Xenopus tropicalis: one gene and its partner. The main gene of each other region encodes a partner of the protein of the gene in region 2 in a complex. Links are inferred from orthologs where the notes say so. Each region holds a gene or a part of one and is shown on either strand. Other genes may lie near its edges. The genes, in order: prkag1 and prkaa1.

Region 1 (3,820 bases), on a different chromosome or scaffold from region 2:
TTACATATCTGGCATGTTGTACTGCTAGGCTTCATGAAGAAGGTACTGTATTTATTCCTGCATTTACCAAGAGGACCCACTATAACAGCCAACATATTAGATAACAGCAAGTGGCTGTTCATTTTAGGCTTGCAAATGAGTTGTTCAATCATATATTTGCATTGTGAAGTGATCAGTCTGCAAGGGCTTTTGTTTTGTTAATGTTCTGATCTGGATTTTTTTTTTTGTTTCCCCTAGAGCTCTACTTGCAGGATTCCTTTAAGCCTTTGGTTAGCATTTCACCCAGTGCCAGGTAGGAGCCAAGACACTGTTGCTGGGATGGTCCGTGATCTGAGAGCCTAATTGCAATGTTTCATATTAACTATTAAATTACCATGTGCCATAAGACTATTGCAGGGAATATTGTAAATGCACTGAGAAAAGTCTATCTTTTTCTTCCTTTTGTCCTTAGTCTGTTTGATGCTGTCTCATCACTGATAAAGAACCGTATACACCGTCTTCCTGTAATCTCTCCTGACTCAGGGAATACTCTGTACATCCTGACACACAAACGCATCCTGAAATTCCTTAAGCTTTTTGTAAGTCTTGCTCTATTTGTATTATTCCTTTGGCTTCTACACACAGACCTCATTTCATCAGAATTTCTTATTTTATATTTTCAATGAGAAGATGTCTGAAGTTGAGAAACCTGCTTTTGTGACTAAATCCCTAAAAGATCTGCACATTGGCACTTATGAAAATATTGCCCTTGTTCGCCCGGACACTCCTGTATATGTTGCTTTGGGCATCTTTGTGCAACGGCGGGTGTCTGCTTTACCAGTTGTGGATGACTCAGGTTAGTGAAGGATTTCAGAGACAAGTTACAGTCTGTCATTTCCTCCTGTTGCTTTGTAGCTAACATGAGGTACAACAATGTTCCAGCAAATGTTCTGAATTTAGCATTATCCACTTCCTCTATAGGTGCAATAAAGAAGTAATTGATATTGAACAATATAAGGTGTAAAGGAAAATGCCTGTCTCCCAGGGCACTTAGAAAACTGGAAAAATGCTGTAGCATGTCATATATACTCTGCTTAATTAAATCATTGTAAGGATAAGGCCCCACGGATTGTCAGCTTGCATATAAGCACACACTGACACATATGCCCTTACGCTTGAAAAATCTTATTATTGTGCCTGAACACAGAAGCAATGAATCCACCTGGGTGCAGGCACACTCAGCCAATATCTGCCTACATACGCCAAGTCTCGCATTAATTGGCGGATATCGACTGCGTGTGCCTGCACCTGGGCAGATTCAGTTTTTCCGTGTGCAGTCACTATTTGAAAACGTTTTTAAGTGTATGGGCAAATTATCAGTCTGTGCTTATATGCCGGCTGACAGTCTGCCTTGTGGGGCCTTACCGTAACTCTCCTTGCTTCCTAATTTGTAACTCTGTTAAATTGCTTAGGGGAGGTATACGTCCTTATTTAACAAAAGCTCAATATATACAGTATAGGGCTTGTACTTAAAAATACTGTTTGCCTTTTTATAATTAAGAAACATCACTTTCTAAATTTCTCTAACAAATAAACCGTTTCCTGGTTTTGCCAAGCAGATCAGAAACTGGTAAAATGAATTATCAGTCCACAGAAAAGCCTTTTAATGAGCTGCTTAGGGAAGGGAGGTGTTTGTTTATTCAGGGCTCCTTATCTTACTTTGAACAAATGACTCTAGGGGGGAGTGAGTTCAGTGAAAAACAGACCAATTTTTCATTAATGCTTCTTTGTTAAAATAAGAATAAGAAAAATCTCCTATTTATAGTTCTCATTTTTTTTGCAAAGATATATGAGGGGGGGTATACTATCTCATTAAAGGAACAGTAACACCAAAAAATGAAAGAGTTTTAAAGTAAATGAAATATAATATACTGTTGCCCTGCACTGGTAAAAGTTGTGTGTTTGCTACAGTAACACTACTATAGTTTATATAAACAAGCTGCTGTGTAGCCCCGGGGGCAGCCATTCAAGCTGGAAAAAAGGAGAAAAGGCACAGGTTACATAGCAGATAACGGATGAGCTCTGTAGAATACAATAGTGTTTTATCTGTTATCTGCTAAGTGCCTGTGCCTTTTCTCCTTTGAATGGCTGCCCCCATGGCTACACAGCTGCATTCTTTATATAAACCATAGTAGTGTTTCTGAGGCAAACTCACCAGTTGAACCAATGCAGGGCAACAGTACATTATATTGGAATTTCTTTCATACACTTGAATTTTTTGGTGTTACTGTTCCTTTAACAGGTGACACTGTATAAGACATAGCACACAAGTGAGTGTCATCTAATATATTCTTGTCCCTTCCAGTCCCCTGGCAACTTCCTATGTTTGTTTTTCAGCCACCCCGTCAAATTTTTCTAGGGATGCACCGAATTCTGCATTCGGTTCGAGATTCGGCCAAATCCAGGCTTTTTTTTTTTTTTAAGGATTCGGTTTTGCCCGAATCTGCGGTCCCGGCCGACCCGAATCTGAATGCTAATTAGCATAAATTAGTATATGCTAATTAGCATTAATAACCATATGCTAATGAGGATTGGATTCGGTTCGGGATTCGCACAAATCCTTCAGAGTGGGTTCAGGGGTTCGCCAAACCCAAACCCATGTTCATGAGTCAAACTCTACTATAGGGGCTGATTTGCTAAAACCCCAATAAAGTACTACAATGCCATTACCTATAGTAACTAGTCAGATGTTGTAGCACTCATTTTACTAAACAATCCCCAAAGTCTCTTGGATTTTAGGAATCTGCTATTCATAGCCACATTTTAACACATATCTTTAAGTAGTGTTCTTATATTCAAGCACTTGCCCTCTTGCCATACTGTATTGGCCAGGAATTTAGTCACTTTTTTCTTCCCTTACAGGACGAGTTGTTGATATATATTCCAAGTTTGATGTCATTGTGAGTACCACTTAAGCTATTGCTTTTGTGTTTAATATGTGAAAAGCAAGTGTGTGCGTGTGTGTATATAAATATCTAAAAATAATATCAAATTATCAGTATATTAAGGACATTGAGGCATTTTTTGCATTAAGCTACTAATACATGCCCTTCCCTTTAAACAAAACAGGGATTGTTTTTCCATATATTGTAATATATTCAAAGCCATCCCCGGTCTGGCCAGTCCTACACTCAATTTCATCTGATTCATTAAGAATTCTACTGCTTCATTGTACGTTTTTCACAGAGACTTGCTTTGCTTTTAAGGTTAAAATTTCTAAATGGTTGCCCTTTTATTGGCCATCACTGGGATCACCTGACTGTAGCTGGGGGTAAAGGGAATTTCAATGTGGCACTGGTCACTGCTCCTGTATAAATTATAGCAAAAAGGGAAGGTTGTGCGCAAAGACAAGAGACTCTCTGCACATATCCATTATAATAAATATATGAAGCACATTGAGACATTTTGTGTATAGAAATAACCTTTTTTTTAAAAAAAAAAAAAAAAAAAAATCTTTAAAATTACTCTAAACAACAACATCCTGCATGCCGTCTGATCTGGTTTCTGACTTATAAATTGAAATCTCCAGCTCCTTTCCTCTACTTCCTGTTACAGCGTGAAGCCCTGTTCCCTCTTCCTGCTTAGCTCTCATTATTTCTTATATTCACAAACAGAAAATCTATGTACCCCCAAAAAAATTTGACAGTGTAGTGAGTTCTAGTTCAACACCACCATTGAATCAATTAAGATGCAAGTGCAAGCAATCCATCAATACAGTGATTTAATCCAATTCTAAAATCCTGTTGATTTAACTGTGGCGTTGAACTATAACTCACTGCAC
Region 2 (4,510 bases):
CATATACACGCAGCAGTAATGGATATTGGAAAGCGGCTTAGAATTACATTTTCTTGCAATGGGCAAAACGCTATTTTTTGGCTCTACTTTCCCTTTAAGGCCCATTAAAAGTGTGGGATGAAATGGACGATCCATTTATACTGACATTTCTATTTTAAGCAATAAGACTGCTGCACATATCATAGTATAATAAAAATTTATGGCATTCTCTTAGATCAAGCCCTGCCTCGGTTCAATACCTAATGGAAGAAACGTGCAAGGATTAAGCACACAGATATTTCTGATATAGTACCTTATTTCAGTGAATCATGTGACACTAACACCAATTTTATAGTGAATAATGCAGCCCCTACCATAAAATATAAGGATATTATAGTTACTGACATAGCCTCTTGCCTCTATATTATCATTAATCTCCTCAGTGACAAATACAGGGGGTGCATTATTTATAACAAAACAAGTTCCAGTAAGTCACGTGACAGAATTCACATCACTGAGCATCTATTAAAATCAATATCACTAAGCACCAATTATAAGCATATAATTTACAGAATATCCATGGCTCTTGTGTATTATGCTGAGAATATAAAGCAAAAGGCTGACTCCTGAGTGCTACCCATTTACCTCCATCTGGATTAAACTGCATTATACGTGCCAAAGGTGAATGGGTATTGATCCAGGGAGGGCTGCAGTGTTTTTATTACCAACACAAGAAGAGTCGAGCAAGACTGTAAAGGGCAAATCAGGCCAAGGAACAATAAAGCTTGAAAGAGTGGGTCATTTTATTAATTAACTTACTGCCCTTAAAGGAACAGTAACACCACAAAATGAAAGTGTTTTAAAGTAATTCAAATATAATTTACTGTGGCCCTGCACTGGTACAACTGGGGTGTTTGCTTCAGGAACACTACTATAGTTTATATAAATAAGCTGCTGTGTAGCCACGGGGGCAGCCATTCAAGCTGGGAAAAGAAGAAAAGGCACAGGTTACCTAGCAGATAACAGATAAGACACATTGTATTCTACAGAGTTTATCTGTTGTTATCTGCTATACAAGCTGTGCCTTTTCTCCTTTTGAATGGCCGCCCCCATGGCTACACACCAGGGTATTTCTATAAATTGTAGTAGTGTTTCTGAAACAAACAAACAACTTTTACCAGTGCAGGGCAACAGTACACTATAGTTTAATTTCTTTGATATATTTTCATTTTTTGGTGTTACTGTTCCTTTAAGGTGGCCATACACACTGAGATCTGCTCGCAGGGCGATATTGGGCTAATTCAGGCTTATTCAGTAGTTGGGCCCTGGGGCCAGACAATTGAATTAGGAAGATGGGTGTAAGTAAAGTGGGTTAGGGGACCGCATCAACGAGCCAATGCGGTTCCCGATCCGATGAAATTTTTTAACCTGTCCGATCGATATCTGACTGATTTCAGGCCAGATATCGGTCGGGCAGGCCCGTCGGTAGTGCCCATACATGGTCCGATAAGCTGCCGAGTTGGTCTAAGCGACCGATATCAACAGCTAGAATCGGCCTGTGTATGGCCACCTTTAGGGTGAAGACACACAGAGCTACTAGTAGCAGCTACTTGTCGTGGCTACAAAAATTGACAATGCTGATCATTTACTGATAACTGTCTCTATTGTGTTTTACAAGAGGCAATTCTCAGTATTGTCTATGGCAGGGTATTTTCTGGCGTTTAGTAGCTGCTACTAAGTAGCTCTGTGTGTCTTCACCCTTAGACATAGCCATTATACCTGGGGGATATCAGCTGTGCAAGTGCTTTCTAGTGCTGCAAGCTCAGGAGACAGCAGCTGTCCCTTCTGTGCTCACCAGTCTGCCCCGCCACCATGGAATTAACCGGATTAGAAGCAGCAAAAAAAAAAAATATATATATTTTCCTATGATTTACATGCAACTCATTATATGCACTCAGTGATGCATCTGGCACCAGTTAAAGTGATACTTTTACAGAACAGTGTTGATATCACTTTAAAAAAAAAAGCTTTACCGTGCTACAATTAACCCACTGCAGCGCCCTGTTACGCGTGTTGAACACACTGGATTACAGCTAGAAAGCTTCATAAAGTGACAACACAATTACGGAGCCACGGGCAGCACAGAAATGAAAGGGTTAAATCTGCCTGAAGGCAGGTAACAAATTGTCTTTTGTTTTTTTCCTCATCCCTTTTCCTGTGCTCTGTTTGTAACAATGTGTCGGGTAAGAGCAGGCAGCTGGGAAAACAATTTCTGGAGTCAGAACCAGCACTGCAAAGTCAGAACACTATGGTCTATAGAAATGACATTTAAAACGAACTAAGACTAATGTTTAATTAAGAAATATTAGAAAGTTGCTTGGAATTTCGTTTTCTTTTATTATGCAAAATAACAAAGTTAACCCTTTAAAGAATGGCAAAATAAGAACGGGAATAATTTGGGGGAAAAAAAACAAATTTAAAAAAATATGTTAAGGAACGTCACAAAAGCCTCCCTGCCAATGTCTAGACTGCTCCGTTACAAGTTTCCCACCCCCTGAAGTGGAAAGGGATTGGAACAGCCCAAAAGCCTACAGACGAGGCAATAAGGATAACAGGAAGGTACCACCATGCCGTGGGGGGAAAGGGAAGCAGTCCCGCCCAGTTCAAGGTATTTACCCTATGTGCCCTGCATTCAGGGCTGCTCCCCTTGCCTATCCCTCCATTTCCCAGTCATTTCCCCACACACTCAAGATCCTCTTTCCACAAGCCCCCCCTCTCTATCTCCCTCCATACCTTTCACTTTGCCAAACGTGCCCACCCCGAGCGTGTCGCCCAGTATATAGTGACCGATCTTCACCCTCCCGTCATGATGCTTCTGTTTATCCGCCGCCATCTTCATGAGCGAACTGAGCCTGCGCATCGCCGCGCGTTCCCGACAAACAAGCCAGCGCGGGCACAGAAATCGCCTCCTAGCGGGAACGGGAAAAAGGTGGCCGTATCTTAGCAACAGGGCACGGCGACGTACGAGCACGCACACGTCACTTGTCTGAGGCGGAGACGTAGTGCGTCGGGGTTATTGGTTGGTGTTGCAAGGGGGTGTGGCGAATACCGGACGCCGCTAGCGGATTGGCTAAGAACATGGCGGGCTATAGGGTGACAGCGGCCGGGTTATTGGGCTGCAATGTTAATAAAATGGCTTGGGAAAACTATACGCTTAGATCTGTGCGTGGAAAGATAGAAATATATGATGTAATGTCGCCAATGGGGTACAGTGACGTGCTTGGTGCTATATTATAGGAGTGATCAAGGTAGGGCTGCCATCATGCCAGGCAGGTGGAATTCCTATCAGGGTCATGTGGCTGGGAACGTAACTAGAACTTGGGCCAGCAGATGGGTTGGGGCGGTTCCTGGGCATAGTAGTGTAAGGGTGAAGACACTGAGCTACTAGTAGCAGCTACTAAAATAGACAATGCTGATCATTTACTGATAATTGTTGCTATGTACGTTTTAGTGGAGGCAGTTCTCAGTATTGTCTATGGCAGTGTCATTTCTGGCATTTAGTAGCCATGACAAGTAGGTGCTACTAATTAGCAACATGTGGCTTCACCCTAATGAGCATGCAGGCAATAGGTGGAGCTGGGCTGGGCACAGGACTTTTTTGTCTGTATTGGGCGTGGTCTGGGCAGAATGGGGGCGTGGTCAAATGTGCTATATAGGGCAGCATTTTTTATTTATTTGTCATTAGGGCCCTTGTTACTTAGTTGGCAGGGCATTGCTGAATGGGGCTGGATGATTTGTAATGGCGATCCTAGACTGAGGGGTTCCTAAAACCATTGAGTGGACTCCTAACCAGAGCATACCTTGATCTGGGGGTCTATAGTACTGTGTGATGGAAAAAAAAGTATTCCTACCCCGCCATCCTGAACTTCACTGGGATAGCTATAGCAATTCTGACTGCCTTGTTCCCCCAAGATGTCAACCTTCTGGTAACTGAATCCCAATATGAGGGGGGCTGTGTTATTAAAACATGCAGGGCAGCACCCACACTGACTGTTACGATCCTTTGTTTTTATTCCTTTTTGCAATTTGTGGAGTAACAGGGACTCCTAAAAAGTACAGCATGTTTTGAATTCCTGTTATTCCTCTAAAACAAATGGCATAATTGATGTTGCTAATGGGAACCTCCAAAAATTGTGCTATGTTTGCTTTGAAAGAGGGCCCCTTGTAAACTCAGTTTTGATTAAATGAAACTCCTTAGTTTAAAATCATCAAAAGGCCTAAAGAGCTCAACAAACTGATGATTTGTGATTTATGGGGTTCACTGTATTTACCAGAGTGTATGTTGCCTGTGGTTATTTGTCACAGTAAGTTATCCCCACAAAATCATATCTAGACAGGAAAGGAACTGAAAATCAAAATAGGGTAAGTAAATACATATATACATTGGTGTATATATATATATATATAAATCTACTGATATATATATATATATATATATATATATATATATATATATATATGTCTTCTGTCC

What was found.
Region 1: the proteins of prkaa1 (region 2) and prkag1 are in contact, whole or in part, in a crystal structure (PDB 6C9H), measured with the Homo sapiens proteins. The link is inferred for Xenopus tropicalis from reciprocal best matches to the Homo sapiens genes PRKAA1 and PRKAG1. Residues at the interface, in NP_006242.5 of Homo sapiens: Ser295, Ser296, Thr297, Met298, Ile299, Asp301, Glu302, Lys305, Arg342, Glu347, Ala348, Phe351, Tyr352, Leu353, Arg369, His371, Pro372, Glu373, Pro376, Phe377, Asn449, Val451, Thr452, Thr536, Pro537, Arg538, Gly540, Ser541, His542, Thr543; in NP_002724.1 of Homo sapiens: His36, Asp40, Leu41, Ile42, Pro43, Thr44, Ser45, Val50, Leu64, Val65, Gly68, Val69, Arg70, Trp75, Ser77, Lys78, Lys79, Gln80, Phe82, Pro158, Glu159, Ser160, Gly161, Asn162, Lys170, Arg171, Lys174, Phe175, Leu178, Phe179.

What each region holds. Positions count from the first base shown.
Region 1 is NC_030678.2:136,343,982-136,347,801, reverse strand, and holds part of prkag1 (5'-AMP-activated protein kinase subunit gamma-1), read left to right. Parts: intron 1-237; coding exon 238-292; intron 293-451; coding exon 452-578; intron 579-669; coding exon 670-835; intron 836-2,901; coding exon 2,902-2,939; intron 2,940-3,820. UniProt on the Homo sapiens protein: AMP/ATP-binding subunit of AMP-activated protein kinase (AMPK), an energy sensor protein kinase that plays a key role in regulating cellular energy metabolism.
Region 2 is NC_030677.2:195,902,731-195,907,240, reverse strand, and holds the start of prkaa1 (5'-AMP-activated protein kinase catalytic subunit alpha-1), read right to left. Parts: upstream 2,897-4,510; 5' UTR 2,873-2,896; coding exon 2,773-2,872; intron 1-2,772. UniProt on the Homo sapiens protein: Catalytic subunit of AMP-activated protein kinase (AMPK), an energy sensor protein kinase that plays a key role in regulating cellular energy metabolism.